2 linked regions of the Caenorhabditis elegans genome follow. The protein of the gene in region 1 purifies or fractionates together with the protein of each later gene. This does not show direct contact. Each region holds a gene or a part of one and is shown in the gene's direction. Other genes may lie near its edges.

What was found.
Region 2: the proteins of C47D12.2 (region 1) and AH9.6 fractionate together in Caenorhabditis elegans (co-fractionation; one large-scale study listed by BioGRID). This does not show direct contact.

The regions. Positions count from the first base shown.
Region 1 is NC_003280.10:11,673,152-11,680,708, forward strand, and holds C47D12.2 (Dymeclin), read left to right. Parts: upstream 1-3,154; 5' UTR 3,155-3,158; coding exon 3,159-3,301; intron 3,302-3,350; coding exon 3,351-3,497; intron 3,498-3,553; coding exon 3,554-3,762; intron 3,763-3,820; coding exon 3,821-3,908; intron 3,909-3,955; coding exon 3,956-4,197; intron 4,198-4,259; coding exon 4,260-4,747; intron 4,748-4,797; coding exon 4,798-4,914; intron 4,915-5,225; coding exon 5,226-5,417; intron 5,418-5,467; coding exon 5,468-5,911; 3' UTR 5,912-6,046; downstream 6,047-7,557. Other genes in the region: trr-1 (Transcription-associated protein 1), read right to left, coding at 1-4, 50-1,168, 1,213-1,336, 1,382-1,680, 1,735-2,520, 2,568-2,705; sfxn-1.4 (Sidoreflexin), read right to left, coding at 6,050-6,416, 6,462-6,728, 7,490-7,557.
Region 2 is NC_003284.9:2,261,040-2,270,994, reverse strand, and holds AH9.6 (uncharacterized protein), read left to right. Parts: upstream 1-2,856; 5' UTR 2,857-2,949; coding exon 2,950-3,069; intron 3,070-5,154; coding exon 5,155-5,258; intron 5,259-5,302; coding exon 5,303-5,355; intron 5,356-5,408; coding exon 5,409-5,548; intron 5,549-6,652; coding exon 6,653-6,724; intron 6,725-6,773; coding exon 6,774-6,837; intron 6,838-6,898; coding exon 6,899-6,964; intron 6,965-7,010; coding exon 7,011-7,116; intron 7,117-7,470; coding exon 7,471-7,621; 3' UTR 7,622-7,829; downstream 7,830-9,955.

The DNA.
Region 1 (7,557 bases):
GATTCTGGATTTTTAGTGTATTACCGATATATCAAAAAATGAAACTCACCGTCAATTTATTCAAGAATTGAAGAAGATTTGGCAGTAACTGCAGGAACTTTCCATACAAAATATCCTGAGCGCCACCACCAATACTGCGGAACAATGCACGAAGCAAAAGGAAATAGTTGAGAGGTTCACGAGCTGTTAATGCCAAGACAGTTGACTGTTTGAGAATCTCTGGGAGGTATGAAGTGAGCATTTTATCTCCATGAAGCCCAGAGCCATTGGCTCCGATGGCGGAGAAGATAATTTTGAAGAGCTTCACATATAGCATCGTCTTGTCATTGCTAACTTCCAGCAATTTCATTCGAGACATCAAGAATGAAAGCATCGTAGATGCGAAGAATGGCACTTCATTTCGAACCAAGAAGGTGTTCACCATCAATTGCAATGGATAGTTCCGATTGTAAATTCTTTCAATCAAGAAATCCATATACTTTTCGAAGATTTCCCGGAATATCGCATGGTCGATTGTTGTAAAAACGTTTGCCAACGACTCCAGAGCATCTTTCTCATCTTTTGTCCGCATTGAAGAATGCATTTGTGGTTGATTTCGAGTTGTTGGAAGCACGAATACATCCATACACATTACACCATATCGTAGAAGACGTTCGAATAAATCTCGCTCCTTCGAACAATGATACATATCCTGTGATGGCCGGGCGATTCTCAATTGTCCTGTCACGAATTTACACGTATGCATTATATACTTCACAAGATTTCGAGCTTCAACAATTGCCAATGGAGGAGGTGTCATCGTTGACATGGCGGTTAAAATCGCTTCGGGAGACGTTTTCTTTCCCTCTTTTGTTGGCGGAGGAAGCTTGTTCGGATCTCCACCACTCTCATCTGCATCTTCCGACGTGGATGGTTCTGATGCCAGGAATTCCAGCTCTTCAACTGAATCAATGGAGAGCCGACGGATTCTTCGTTTCGGTACTCCTCGTATAGTGTCCTTTGGGATATTCATTCCAGGTTTCTCGGCGTCTCTCTCATAACTTTTGTATTCGTAGTCTATTTCGGTTCCGTATTGTTGGAAGAGAATAGGCATGTGATAGACTGCAAGAGTTTTGAGCTTGGCCACGTGCGACTCCAGGATTTCAATGAGCAGATCACGAGTCTGAAACTTATTTCGAAGTGAGATACGATTATTGATAGAATAAGTCTTACGGTATCATGTGAATCCATTTTGCACAGAGATTCGGCCAGTGAGTTGAGCAGCCGAGCAGACATAATCTGGACTTGAGAAGAGTTGTTAGGATCGTGAAGAGTGCGACAGAATACGAAAATCACGCTGAAATTTCAACATTTTTCATCAGAAAGTCTTATTCAAACTTACTGTGTGATCATTTCATAGTCTATAGAATTTCGCATGTGATGCAACAGATCTGCTAGCATTTGATACATGAAAACTCGCAAATGCTCAATCGCAGTGAATCCTGTTCCCAGAACAACCTCCTCAGCGATGAGTCGAGGTAGCATTGGAAAGAATTTCGACTTCATTTCTCCAGATGTGAAATACTTCAAAGCCATCAGAACTTCTCGTCGGACACTTATCAGATCAGCCGGGCACCGCTCGAGCATCTGCATTGTTCCCGACACTAGAAGCGGTCCATTTTGCATGATAAGATCCATAAACTGAAAAATAAAAATCAGGATTACAGAAAAAAAACTTGAAAAAACGAAACTTACCGCTGGAATCTTAGCCATAATGTTGACGAATGACAGGAATCGGGACTGTGCACTGACAAAATCATCGGTTATTATTTGATTTGTTTTGAGTTTATCCTCGTCTGGAACTCTGACATTTAGAAAATCAAGACCAAGCCTCATGAAATCAAGCGCTTCGGTTTGGATCGCTGTTTTGAAATGTTGATAGAAGAAAATCACGAGATACGGAACCTCCAGGAGCACCTTCGTTGACTGATGAGCTGATGGAATCATATTGTATTTTAATGGCGGTTTTCCTTCCGTTCCGTTGAGAAGAACCGTTTGTTGATAGTAGCAAGTCTTCAAATATTCAGTGATGACTTGCTCGTCGGAGCTAGTTGACGGTGGAGCTTTATGCTCTTTTATGTTGAACATATCACCAGCTCGACCACTCGCCGTCAGATCAATGACCATTGTTTTGAAGGAGACCATTATCTGTGAAACCTCTCCGCAATATTGCATTTTGCCGGTACTTCTCCCTTGATCGGTGACAATTTTGATAGCCAAATTGGCATTCTCCTCATTTTCCACGGTGATTAGCCTCATCATCTGCTTGATAATTTCTTTGCTATGATGTTTCATGGCTTCTACGTTCGAAAGTCGAAGAATGATTTCAAGCATTAACTTTCGAAGCTGTTGTGTATTGTTTTCAGCAATGAACTGTGGACTTGTGTTGCAGAAAACTTGTAGGAACGAGAGAATGAGCCTCTCCACGACTTTCTCGTGCGAACTTAGTGTGAAATGATTTTCGATTGTGCTCCAAATCTCCTGCAACCGAACAAATTGATTACTTAACACGAATTATTGAAACTAACTTGTAACATTTTCAATTTGACATCATCTCTTTGTGAATTATCGGCAAGATTTTGAATTCTCGTTTCCAGCTCTGTTAGGTGATTACTCCGATCGGACTGCACAGACCGATAGCCTGGAGAAGCCATAGCCGGATCCATTTTGTATTAGTGACCAGCACTGAAGATACTTCTAAACTATTGAGCTTTGTGCAACTATTTGAATAATTTATCTGAAACAAGATTTACGTGTTTAATTCACTAAATTGCGAAGGAAACAGATTATAAAATGAAGAATGGAGTAGAATGAACTATTAGGAAGTGAATGCAACAAGAAAAATCAGTCAGAAAACGCTGAAATTATCGGAAAACTGACATTATTTCAGCAGAAACAAAGAAACAACTAAATTTCAAACGAGAGCGAATTGTCTGCTGACGCGTATGTGTGTGTGTTGGCGCACTCGCGGTTGTTGGCGCATTTCACGTGCATTGCCACGAACGAGAGAGGAGATTTTATTGAATAAAAAAGATGTGACCTGATTAATATTTGACCCTTTCTTGACTTTTTCTTTTATTTTTATGATTATTAACAGTGTAATAACAAATTTCAGACACATGGGATCAGTTATAACCAAGGAAACGGTCTTACAGGAGAATATTTATCTGAAGAAACTCAGCGGTTTGGAACCTGTCGACGATTATGACCCATTTTGGAACAAACTTCTCTCTTTCAGTCTCAAGTTTGATGATGACGACGAGTAAGGATTAAAATTAGGCAAAAGCTTTAAAAATGTTATAATCGTTTAGAGACACCCGAATCGCTTTGGAATCTGCTTTAGATGATCATCTTCAATGTCTAATGTACAATACACAAACAACAGGAAATTTCGCTGCATTTATTCGACTTTTCCTTCGCAGAGCCACAGAACTAAAAACATCAGAACAATGCGAAAAGTGAGTTGGAAAAAAAAATCATCATTATATTTAATTAAAGCTTTTTCTTATTTCAGTAAAATCTACTTATGGCAAACATCAAACGCTCTTCTCATTCTTCGTTACATCGCCAGATTTTTAACTCAACGTATGACGGAAAAAGAATTCGTGAGGATTTTCGCCAAAAGTCATGAGAGTACGGAAACCGAATCGTCGTCTACATCTTCCTCGTCGGATGAGGAAGATGATGACGAACAGAAATCAGAAAACGAAAATAATAATGGAGGTAAATAAGCTTCATTTAAAAAAAAAATTCAATAATAATCAAATTCTGACGTTTTCAGCGACAAAATATATCCCGATAGTTTTTCAAAACACTGCAGAAGAGTTCACGTATGAGCTGGTTTCGATTTTAATCAATATTTCTGTAAAGTGAGTTTTAAATTATTTTTTAAAAAATTGAATTAAAATAATTTCAGCGAAACAACATTGGCAATCCATGTCGAAGCAGTTCGATGTCTCCTAACTCTCCTGAGCTCTCAACTATATAATGAATCAATTGTGAATACTTCAATTGTCTTCAGATTCTTTATTGATGGATCATGTGCGAAACACGCAGCTTCGCTCACTAAAACTCTTCTTCTCAATTATTTGATCCACAATTCAGAGTATCACATGACTGTACAAAAGCCACAAGAGAGCATTGTTTTTGGATTAGCTTGTATGTCACTGAAAATCTTTTTTAATTCTTTATTAAATTAAAAAAAAAACACGATTTTTAAGCATCAATGTGGTCAATGGTCCAAATGGCAACTGGTATCGACTCCGCAGAGGAAGAAAAGAAGCCCCCACTTACTCTTGGAAACTTAAGCATCCTGCTTCTCCTCAATCTTTCATGCCATCAACCTCTCAATTCATCCAATCCATTCAAAGAAACCCTTGCTCTCTTCCAAAATGCTCAAGAAGTATCCACATTGCCTACTCAGATTGTGTCGTTCAAAATCGATTATAATGGATTATACGAAAGATTGTGTGCTACCGCTGGCCAGGAACCTCCGATGCTTCTACTCTACATGCTTCTACAGGCGAACTCGGGATTCCGGAACTATGTGTTGTCTCGGATCAACCTCGAGAATCTAGTTGTTCCTGTTCTTCGAATTCTTCACGACGGTGTCGCGACATCGAACAACTCTCACCATGTTTATCTTGCATTGATTGTCGCCTTGATTCTCAGTGAAGATGATATTTTCTGCAAGATTATACACGAGACGGTGAGTTTTCACTAGAAATGCTAAGATTATATTGAAGTATATATTTGCAGATGATCAAGGATCTCGGCTGGCTGGACAGTGATTTCAGTGTCCGCGAGATCTCTCTCGGAGGTTTGACAACTCTTGTGCTGGTTCGAGCAATTCAGAAGAATGCTTTGAAAACTAGAGTTAGTTGTTGCTACCAAGGGTGTCATTTTTCAATTTTTTTTTCGATTTTTTGACGTTTTTCAGTGGAAATCGAAAAATCGAAAAAAATGTTCAGAAAATTAACCATAAAATATGATTTTTTATCTAATTTTGTTTATATTGATAAGAACAAACATAAAAGTTTCATCTAAAAAGAAGAATAATGGCCAATATATCAAGCTCCTTTTTTAAAAATCGAAAAATCGAACAATTGAAAAAGCGAAAAACCGACAGTTGCTACCTGAAGATACAAAATTTTGTTTTTTTTTAAACCAAACTCAAATTTTTCCAGGACCGATATCTTCACACAAACTGCTTAGCTGCTCTTGCAAACATGTCAGCTTTCTTCAAAAATCTTGCTCCAATTGTTTGCCAAAGACTCATATCACTGCTTGATCTTCTAACAAAACGGCATGCTAAAATGGTGGATCATATGAGAGTCAGCAGTCAGAATGATGTTGCAGATGGACAGCCGATCAATTTCGTAAGTTCATATTTTGTTCAAAAATCCAAATAAAAAGTATAATATTTCAGCATGACGACATTACTGCTCTCGAAGAAGGAATTCGAACTCTCCTTGAGATCATCAACAGTGCACTTTGTGGAGGACTCCGTCACAATTCACACCTCATCTACAACCTTCTCTACCATCGTGCTCTATTCGATGCATACGTTCAGCACCCAATGTTCCAAGATCTTCTTGTTAACATCGCAGCAGTAATCTCTCACTTCTCGTCGAAAGTGATACATGTCCCAGCAGGCGATGGATCCACAATGCTGCAAATAATCGAGAAGGAGGCAAACATATGGCCAACCGATCGACTCGCAAAGTTCCCAGAATTGAAGTTCCGATACGTGGAGGATGAGTACACTGTCGATTTCTTTGTGCCATACGTCTGGAGGCTATCTGTTCAACATTCGGGAATCTACTTCGAAACATCAAGAATCAAAATATTTAACGCCCAAAGTATTGCTTGACCCTCAAATTGTTTTATTAATCGGTAAGCATAATGCCGGTAGTATTTATTCGGACGCAAATATTGATAAGTGGCCTTATTCATGTGATGATCATAAGATACCATAATAATGTACAATAAATCTATTATCTAATTGAGTTCAGAGTCCTTTGTTGTAGTACACCACTTTCGGGGGATTTGCCAACTTGTTGATATGATCTTGAAGTGAAAGCTCCAGCTTATCAACTTGAATTGAGCTTTTCTGTGGGAAAAGAGCACAACAAATTGGTGTGGAAAAAGCCAACATGAATCCACAGAGCAATGTTTGAAGAGGTGCAGCCATTCCAGGTGTATACCATGCAGTTTTGGAAAGTTGCTCCAAGATCACTGGTCCTAGAACCATATTTGGAACCGCCATTCCAACACGACTGAGCACAACTTGTGGAATAGCATGACCAGGTGCAACTGTTGAAAATCCCATTGTTCTACCTTCACCATCTTCAACTGGAATTCCATTTGTAAATTCTCTGAAACAAATAAATTATTAAAATGTCTTTTAATCTGATTCTCACTTGTTTCTCATCATAGGAATATTAATTGCATTGGCGAATGCAATAGCAGCAAATGGAACGAGACGAGCAAGAATCGGCGGAGCATTTTTCCACTTTTTGAGCATATAATTGAATGAAAGAGCACAAGAAAGAGCTCCAGTAGTGGCACCGCAATACGAAAGAATCAAGGTTCTATCATCCTGTTTGTGGGTTCCGCTCCGGTTTGTGTAGTTGACGATGGCGTTGAATGATTGATTGACCCAATGGAAGAAGATCACATGGGGAAGTCTGGAAATATAATTATTTGTTTAATTGCTTGTGAAATAATGCAATTTTTGTAGCCCCGGCACGGAATTCTGGCTTCCCTCATAAATCGAAATGGCAGAGTTTGCCGAACTAGGCCATTTTGGGTCAGAGAGATTTTGTGTAGATTTACGGCGCGTTGCGTGTCGCGTCGCGGCTCGTTTTTAGTTGTAAAACTGCTGTATTTGTCCGTGTGGAGTACACGAAACTTTTCCACGCGCTGTCCGGCGGGCGATTGTCAATGGGGTGCGAAAATTCAATAAGAAAGGCCAGAACCCCGTGCCCCGGGTCTTGAAACGAGCGAAACTTTGTCAGCTACCGTACTCACAAGTATTTCGCAACTTCCACTTGATTTGTTTTAAAGTTTCCAACGTTGTCCAGCAAAAAATATTATTTTTAGTTATCAAAACTACATAGAATATCATAAGCACAAAATTTTGGGATTCGTGCGCCAAAAATACGCAACCCGGTAACGACAAGAAACGTTTTTGTGAAATACAACAGTGTGTGCGCCTTTAAAGAGTACTGTAGCTTCGAATGTCTGTTGTTGCGGAGTTTTAATATACAGTACTCCTTGACAGCTTCCACCCTTTCTCATTAAACAAAAACAATTATCGTGCCGAGTCCAGGTACCGTATTTTTGGTGCAAACATCGGAAAATTCTGCTTCCGGGTAAGAAGAGTTGCGGGTACGGTAGCAGACAATTTGTGTTCGTGTCATTCGTGCCAGGACCCGCCAAAACGCACTTCTGATAAAAAGTGAGCATTCCTCCGGTAATAAGCATATTACACGGCACTTGAGCACTCATTCTGCC
Region 2 (9,955 bases), on another chromosome or scaffold:
CTGGTTTCTGATAGCTTCCGTCAACATGCAAGGTGTACATGACTATAAAGAGTTTTCAATTCATACTCATCCATCTTCAAATCGTGCAGTTGGAATATTTTTAGATGAGTAATTAATTGAGATCAATTCAGAAATAAAATAGAGTCGCCTAGCTTGATAAATTGCTTACTAATAGTAAGCACGGCAAACTTTTTATGCCAAAAACAGAATTCTAGGAAATTGTTCGAAAGTTTGCTGATGTAAATTGAAACTTTTGTAATACACTGGTACTGATTATTTTCGAGAACTAAAATTCAAAAAAAAAAGTTTATTGAGAACATAATCTGAAAGAAAAAATACATTGCAAACTATGACGGCTTTTAGGTTCCTTTTTGTGAAACAACGCTATGATCTACAGCATTCTTCGAATATTGCTTATTTGATAAAGAAACTGAAATTTTTGAAATTTTACAAACAAAGATTCACAGAAAAAATACATGGTTTGCAATGAAACATGAAACATTTTTTACATTTTTTCACAAATATAGTGTGATACCAAAGCAACGACAAGTTTTAGTTATAGGTGAAGTACGTCCAGTGGAAAAATATTTTAAAAAACCATTCCTATGGTATTCAAATAGCCAAACATGCATAATAAAACTTTTCCAAATTTTTGGCAACATTTTTTATTTCAAGTTAGATAGCGGTGAAATGTTTATATATCTGTGGAAATCGCTAATAAAAAAAACGTATTTTTCTTCCAGTTTGAATTATGTTCCAAACTCTTATATTTTAGCAATGTTGGGGTTCAAACATGCGCCAGTGCTTTAGATATTTCGAGAAGTGGCGCAAACTCCGTTTTCGCCATTTTTTGACTTAAAATAAAAATTCTCCAATTTTTGTTCTGAAAAGTTGTACCATGATACTTCCGCACTCCGCCTTTAATTAAACGGAAAAATTCAATGTTTTATAACTTTACAAAATTTATCCTCAAAATCACAATGAATGAAACATTTTCCGAGTTTCATTTTGAATTATTTATTTTATTGTAACAAAACGTGCATTTTAATAACCCTCTTTGCTCCGAAGATGATGGAAAATGTGTTCCCGTCGTTTGAAATAATAAAGTCATTGAACGAAAAACGTTTACCTCTGCTTATTCCCTTCAAAAAATTTTCTTCGGAAATTTCCTCCAAATTTCCTGTTTTCCACTACTGCTGTGTTATCGTAAAGTTAATATCGAGTTAACATTAGTTGGTACTTACAAAAGCAATAAATGGTTCGGTTCATTGTGAATGTGGCTTCTTTGTCGTTTTCTTGTGGAAAATTGCTTTCCTTCTTTTAGGAGTCTCCGACTGCACAATGACTTTACAGGAAATTATTTTTCGGCCCGGTTTTTTTTGTCTTGCAAAGCTTCTAAAAACCTGGAGCTAAAAGTGTTTCGTTGGATTTAGTTAGAACGAGTCAAAATGAGTATGTGTAAAAGAGATGAACAGACTACGTTGCGGAATTTTTTTTTTGAAGACGCGTACGAGCCTGACTTCCGTCCCCTCTTGAATTTCGTTGGTGCTTTGTGGTTTGTAGTAAGTGCATCAGAGACACGCCAATAAAAGCGAAGAGTGCTCTAAAATGACATGGAGTACCTTTACCTCCGTGCTGGATTGAATTACACTTGAGAATTGGAAGAGAGCACAACTACATCTGGTTCCTAATCACAAGCGTGCTTTTTCAAATGCACTTTATTTGCAGGTGCCCTCCCCGTGAGTTATGAAATTCAACAGCAGCGCGAGTTGCAATCTTTCAGAGAGCACATTTTCTTGAGATCTCCCTCGGGAAGACTAGGCAACGCCCGTCTCAAATGAAGCTTTAGATGAGATGACGTATAGTGTGTTGCCAAGTGAGTTTTCACTTTTTAAAATAAAATTGAAGCATGGAAAAAAATAAATGGACCAGATAAAATTTGATTCGGTTTTGTCCAAAAAACTGCAGAAACATTTCTGAAATTCTAGGCGTGAGAGAGAGAGAGTACACAGTAATGAATAATTCAACATTCTCAGTATATGGGGTGAAATTTGAGTAAATATTTGAAACACTACTTTGGGATCTTGACTTCTACAAATTTTGAATGGAATACCTCGAGAATTTATTTGTGATACTGAATGAATGTAGGTACTTTCAAGGTAAACCTGCACCAAATATGTTTATCATTTTTAAAATTCAACGTAATTTTTTAGTTTTAGTATTAGTGTTTTCTTAACCTGAGAATGCAAATCAATTTCCCATTTTGATTAAATTATCAGGTGAGTGGAAATTGAAAAAAATTTCTGAGACAGGTACCAAAAAAACTGAATCCCTGTATTTGGAAGATAGATCACTCCTTTTCTGAAAGATCTTGTGTTTTCGCGTCAGAAATATTTACAATCATTAACTCGTCTTTCCATTAATATTCATGAGTACTCAACTTTATTACTACCCAATACATCACTTCCAAAAACTTGGTCTCTAGCTATAAAAAGTGCGAAGTATGAAGAAAATGAAAAAAGGAAAGGAAAGACGCACTTCTCTAAGAAAAAAACTCAATTAAGCAACCTGGACTTGTCACTGAGAACAAGGACAAGAGCAAGAACAAGTATCGAAATAGAATGTTTGTACGTACGTTAATCGTGAATTCTCTTAGTGTGTGGCGTACCCCTTGGGAGAAATGTTTTCAAGTCCAGTGTTCACTACTATAAGCTTCCCCCCGTTTTCCTATTGCCCAATGTCTCCTAGCCTCCTCAGTCGGCGCCAAAGTGGGCGGAGCGCATTGGCGGCGCTGCCTGCGCGCGCTTCGGACACGACCGTCGTCGGGCGAAGCACACAGAGAGCAACTCCTCGGGTTTTGGTGAATCAGTCGGTCGCCGCCGCCGTCGTCGTTTTTGGCAGAGCATATTATTGGTGTGGAGCACACAATGTCCTAACTCTCATGGCAATATGATGCGCAAGCTACTCGTCATCTGCCTTCTGACGGTCTATGCCCAAGGGGGTCAGATTCCTGTGCCTCCCATATTTTCACCATGCAACTTCCCATCTCCGATCACCGAACCTAGTTTTGTGAGTTCAACTTTTTCATGTTTTATTTTTTTATTTGCTGAACTTTAAAATCTCCCCTCAACTTTTAAGAACCAAAAAAGCTTTAGCTTCAAATTTCCAATTTCTTTTCTAGAAAAACTGAGGTAGGAAGAATGAGAAAAAAGGAAAAATAATTAGCATTGTTCGTTCTGAAAATGCAAAAATAAGATAAATTATACATTCCCTCTGTTTTGCCCTAGGAGGGGTAGCCTTCGTTCCATGTGCCCCACAAATCACTCAAGCGTTCGTAAACCTTGCAATTAGAAACCCAATTATTTTTTGCTGCTCAGTATTGCTTTATTGTTTATATATATATATATATATTTTTTCTGCGCCGTATCCTACTTTTTTCCACTATACTTCTCCTCCTTTCTCCTTTTTCTATATACTTTGCGAAAAGTTGAACGGCCCTCCAAAACTCGTCGAGGAAGAAGGATGAGAAAGGAAAGCCGCGTGGAAAAGACGAAGACGTCGTGCTTTTTTTTTCTATTTGCATATTGAGCATTTGCTCATCCTTATGAAACCAATCAAGTGAAAGACAATCGTTGTTTTTTTTGTGTCCGTAGTCTTAGATTTACTCTGGCGATATCCGGAAGAATGACGAATTTCGAGTTTTTTTTTCAGAGATTTAATTGTGCACTAGAGGGAGGAAACCCCATAGTTTCGAACTTTTGACTTGTGATTCAAAATTTGACACTCAAATTTTAAAGTCAAGACCTACCCGGTGAACTGCGTGAACGACATTAGTCATTCTTGTGGTCTCCTTTGGAAACCACAAGGTGAACAACATCGTCTCGCCGCCCCGTAAACGCAATTTGTGAAAGCCGAAAAACTCAAACTCCTTTTCTCTTTTGTATTGAAAACCACAAATAGAAGAAAAGGAAATTCCTCGGCGACAACAAAAAAGAAATTGTGTCCCCCCTCCCTGCCTTTCTTCTGCTTATGCTTCCTTCCAGGTTGCTCAAGGACCCTCGTTTATTGTGTCGCAAAAAGTTCACAATTTTTTTTTGAAGGACTGAGGAGCCGAAAAACTTTGTGAAAAGAAGAGTTTGATCTGAAATCAACAATTGTCAAAATTGTCAAAAACATTTTGCAAACTCCCTAAACTTCTTGAGATTTATAGAAAAAACCTGAAATGTATTTTTAGCATAGGAGTAATTTTGATTCTCCTCCAAATTGTCAGCTCATCTCTGTAGACCAAAAAAAAAAGTTATGCAGACAAAAAGGCACGCGACTCAAAAAAAATGATATATACATACACATGTATTTATTTGACGTCTTCCATCATATTTTATTGTGAAAAGGAAAGAAACGACCACCACATCCATTTTAGTTGATGCGAGCCATGTGAAACACTTGTCAAGCATATATTCATGAAAAAAGTCACTACGTACTCAAAACCCGACAGAATATGTTATGCATATGTGAGGAAGGTCACGGGGGTGAAATTGTAAATTTCTACTACATATTAAGAACGTTACAAAGCAAATAAATTTGCAGTAGTAAGTTACAACAGTGACCTTTGGAAAAATTATTCAATTTTCCGTATTTTCCCTATTAAAATCGCAACGGGGCTCTTTTTTATCGGCCTATGCCGCGGTTAATTTTCACGGTATTAAAATGAGTACCGTCACTAATTTTAAGGTCCTTTTTGAATGCAGCACTATTAGAGACTGCAGTACTGATTTTCAAAAACCTCTTTTCAGTTGTAGATCACTAGCTCTCAGTCACAAAAACTCATATTTTAGGCCTGAATTTAATATTTAATTTTTTAAATTCATTTTGTGAATTAACAAAGAATCATTAAAACATGTTCAGAAAAAGTTTCCAAAATGTCGAAACTAATGAGGTTTCACAAAAAAAAATTGCAATAAAAAAAGGGTTGCCGCATGAATTGAAAATATACGGTATCTACAAGACTATAGGAAAATAAATTGGAATTTATTTTCTCAGATGACAAAGGACAAATCTATATTTGATTCAACAGTTCGCGAATTTTTAATTTTGATTTCAAAAATTAAATATATATTCTGTTTCTGCAACTCATTCAAATCTACCTAATTTCAGCACCGATCGGTTTGCTACACAATTCCTCGACTTCCGTTTGTGTGCGATCTTCATCACCAACTGGCTTACACAAATGTTTATGGAATTGAAAAAGCTTATAATAAGTATAAACAATTCTTTTTTTTCAATCTTAACACCCAATTTTCAGGTATCGATCACTCTTCACAAACGGCAATACTTCAACACTTGCCGTCATAATCAGTTGAGAAATACACCTGCCTCTCTCTTGTCCAACGAAATTATATTTTTTCCAGCAAAACAACTGGAGCAGCCTGCTTCTGCAAATGATGTCATGAAAAAAACCGAGTACGCTTGTCTCTTTGATAACGAATGCGACCAGATTGACGGGGACATGGTGACTGGAATTGTCGGAAATGTGCGGAAGTTCCTACGGGTAGGTCGGTGTGGTCGGAGGTTTCAAAAAGTATACGTTTTTAGCGGGAGGGGGGAGGGGGTTAGTCCAAAGTTGAGCTTGCAAAGTGGGGACAGGAAGGGGAACTGAATCATTATGAGCCAATTTTCTATCACGTTTTCCACATTGCACGCAAGTATCGCTCTTTTTTTGGGTGAAGTGGTTGCAGTGCGCAAAGTGGGCACATCTTCAACACGTGCTAGAAATGATGAATCTTGAGTTGAGGGACTCTCAGAATGTAGCAAAACGTTTTCTGAGAAAAATACTTCCTGCGTGAGATACAAAAACGAAATTGAATGCAGTGCTAAACGGTTTCCAATAAAATCTATTTTTGAAGAATGGAGTTCACAAAATAAAAATATTCAGATATCTCAGTAAATCCCCATGTATAGACTTAATGTATAGATTCAAAATGTGCTCAAATGAACTAACTTCGTTATAAAACTTTTTTTTTTAATTTATAATTTTTTCTGACGGTTAAAGATTTAAAAAAAAAATCAGCTAATTTTAGATGCAATCTTAAATTTTGCAAACTTTTTTGTGGCACCTAGATGTGATAAAGATTGCACATTGAATTTCATAAGATTTTATTTTTATTAACTGTATAATTCGGTCTTTATATATTAATTTAGGTAAATTTTAAGGATTATAATAAAATAAACATTAATTTCCGACAGCTGTGACATGGGAAATTTTGCAAAATTTAGGGTTTCAGCTAGCATTAGCACAATTGTTTGAAAACATTTTTAACCGTTTTGAAAAGTTTTTGGGAAGCTTTTGATAAGTCTCATATTGATATTTGATTTGTTTAGAAAAACTTGTTATTTAAAATATAGCAACACTTTTAAAATATAGCAACACTTTTAAAATATAGCAACAATTTAGTTCTCCTTCAACGGCAAATTTACAGATCAATTTTATGAGGAAAAATATTTTGGTGAAATAGCATTGCAGTTATTCTAATCGAAAAAATACGGTATGGCAAATTATTGCGGACTGGTTTTAAAAAAAGCTTCAATGATAATAAGATGCAGAAGCTGTGATATTCGTGTGTACTTGGCTGAAATCAAAAATTGTATATTTCAGGTTTATTCGTGGAAAGTATATGAGCGATGGTTTGGTGTCGGAGAATCTTGCACCAAGACAAATTTGCTAGCGGTAAGTGATGCCATTCTATCCATTCACTCCTTCCAAATATGTTTTCCAGCTTGTTGTAATCGATGGAGTTGTGAATGACGCCAGAAAAATTCCATACGTGAGATTGCACACAGGTACATTTCAAACTCGAGCAAAACTCAAAACTTATGACTTCGATCAACTCAATTATTCCAGGCTCACATCGTCTTCGAATGTTACTTCCAAACATACAAAGTGAAGTCAACAATGCGTTGGTGCAAGGTACGCGCATAACTGAATGCTAACCAGAAACGGTGTATTGTTTAAGGCTGGCCACTAGCAAAGGTTATCGAGGATCTGGTGGATGATGTGGGATATGCACTGAAAGATTATTACGAGCTGAACGGTGAACAGAGAGATCATTCCGTTCCAATGTAAGTTATTGGAGCTGATTCTTGGTTGTGAAGGGGATATGGTTTGGGAAAACAGCCTTGGAATAGTGTAGGTATGGTATCGGTGTGGTATCGGTGTGGTATCGGTGTGGTATAGGTATGGCAAAGGTATGTTATAGGTATGGCAAAGGTATGTTATAGGTATGGCAAAGGTATGTTATAGGTATGGTATAGGTATGGTATAGGTATGGTATAGGTATGGTATAGGTATGGTATAGGTATGGTATAGGTATGGTATAGGTATGGTATAGGTATGGTATAGGTATGGTATAGGTATGGTATAGGTATGGTATAGGTATGGTATAGGTATGGAAAATATATTTTCAATCATTTCAGGTGGGCACGAAACCTATTTCTGGTCTGCTTGGCACTTGTCATCACTGCTCTTCTTGTCGAGTGGTACGTGGTGAGAAGGAAAATCGGAGTGCAAAAAAGTGGATCCATTAAGATTGCGTCAGGAAAGAGCAAAACACATCTCATGTTCTAATGTTCGTAGTGTCATATCTGAAACTTTTGTACATTTATTTTTATGTAATTGTTTTCAATCTCTCTCATTCGGGTTTACGGTGATTTTTTTTTTCAAATTTTCACTGCTAGAGTCAACGATCAATAATAGTTGACTGTTTAACTTGTATTTCTTATTTTTTTAAGGTTTATTTTTTCAACAAAATAAAGTGAAGAATATTTTCCAAATTTGAAAAGTTTGAATAATAAAAATAAAATCGTCTTTGTTTATATAAACAAAACTTAATATATTCGGTGCCTATTTTGAGCTGACTAATCTTCTATATAAAGGGGCCTAGCTCCATTGGGGAATTTTTCTGGGGATTTTCTCAAAATTCACTTATATGATTCCAAAGCGGCCGAATATCATAATAAACCACTCACATTTTTAGTCAACGTTTTGGCAAGTTACCATCATTTTTGAATGTCGTATGGAATGTTTTAACAGAAAAAAAACCAAATTAAAATTAAAATATGAAAATCGTAGAAAGTTTTTTTTGTTGATTTCCAAAATCATAAGGGACAAAAACTGGGTAATTGCTACACTTCGTTAATAAATAAAACATTTCTAATTTTTTTGAAAAGTTGTTCTATGATATGATATTTGGTTATTTTAGCACCATAGGAGTAGTATTAAACCTTTAAACATTTATTCACCACTTATCAAAAACAAACAATGTTGTTTTTATTTTTCACCTAGTCTCTATAATTCCTACTTTTACGCAAAGAATCAAAACATCTCTAGACTCTTATCTTTCCCACTTTTCCTCTTCATGCTCGAAGAAAAGACACTACATAAAATTGATAATGATAAAATATTGAATCAATGTTTATTGTTCATCAATTCCACTGTTTTTTCTCATTTATTAGCATAAAATGTTACTACTTTCCCGGCTGCAACTACGGTAAGCGGTATCCAGCCGATGTTTTCAATACTGCATTTGAATACACGTGCACGGATAACGCTCATTGTTTTTCGCATGCCAATTTCACAAATGGAAAGTGAGTTTTCGAAATGCAATAATATTTTAAATATTTCGTTTGAAAAGATTTTTATGTTAAGATAGCATGCAAAAGCTTATGGTAAAACCACACATATCTAGTGGATTTCTTTAACATTGAGAGATGTATTGAGGATATTTTCTCTCACGTGAATATTTTATATTCCCTCATAATTCTGAACAAAAGCCACGAACTCAACGTCTACTGCCGCTATATATTTGAAAAACGTGCTTTTCAGTTTAGTTTTCAAGTTTTTCATAGTTTTTTAAAGATAAAGTACGGTCAGTGGGGAAATAATCGATGTTAAAATAATTATGTATCATAACAAAACACTTCAAAAAAGTTTTTCAATTTGTTTCAAAAAGTGTTAACTACTGCTTGTCATTGTTTTGGAAGTCATCTCTCAAAATTTTTTTTTTGATTTTTATGGTCTATTTATGTTTCTAAAAATAAATATTCAGAACAGGGTAAGCGGCAAACTGGGCAAATGGGCAAATTGCCGGTTTGCCGATTTGCCGGAAGATGTTTGCTTACTTCTCAAAATAGATGAAGGAACATTCACAGGATGCGTACAATTTTGCCGCTTAAAATTGAAATTCCGAAATTTCTAAAAAAAAATGTGCGAGACCACAACTTTCCGAAAGTATTCGGCAATTCCGGCAATTTTCCGACTTGTCGGAAATTTCAATTCCGGCAATTTGCCAATTAGCTAGAAAAATCGTTTGCCACCCACCCCTGATTCTAACACTGTGTGAATTCGAACATTCGATATTGCTAAATTTTTGTAAAAAACTGCCAAAAACTGAAGATTTGCCAATTTCTTACTCTCAACGAAAACGATACGAAAATTTTTTGAAAATTTTTACTATGATTTATTTTTGCTCCTTTTGGCACTACTACTCCGTTTCAAATTTTCTGTAAAGTGGTTTTTTTTTAACTTTTCTAACTTGAAAACAAGAAAATTATAAGAAACTAAAGTGATCTTGATTTTCTGTTTAGTAAATGAATTCTATGAGTTTCTAAATTTTTTTTTGATGAATTTGAATTTTTATTTTATTTATGAAATCCTCTATTTTCCCGAGTCTCCTCCATCTGCCACACAAAAAAACAGTAATGAACATCTGCTCTATACCCAAGGCGGGAGAAACACATGTATGAGACCAAACCATCGATTTTTGGTGGGGAGCACACGCATACGGCAACCGTGTTACCCTGCGTCTCACGTTGTTACATTTTCCATTGTGCGTTCCGTTTTGAGTACAGCTTTTTTTCTTGCATTTCGCTAAATGGTTTTGAAACTGTAACATGTTTTTTG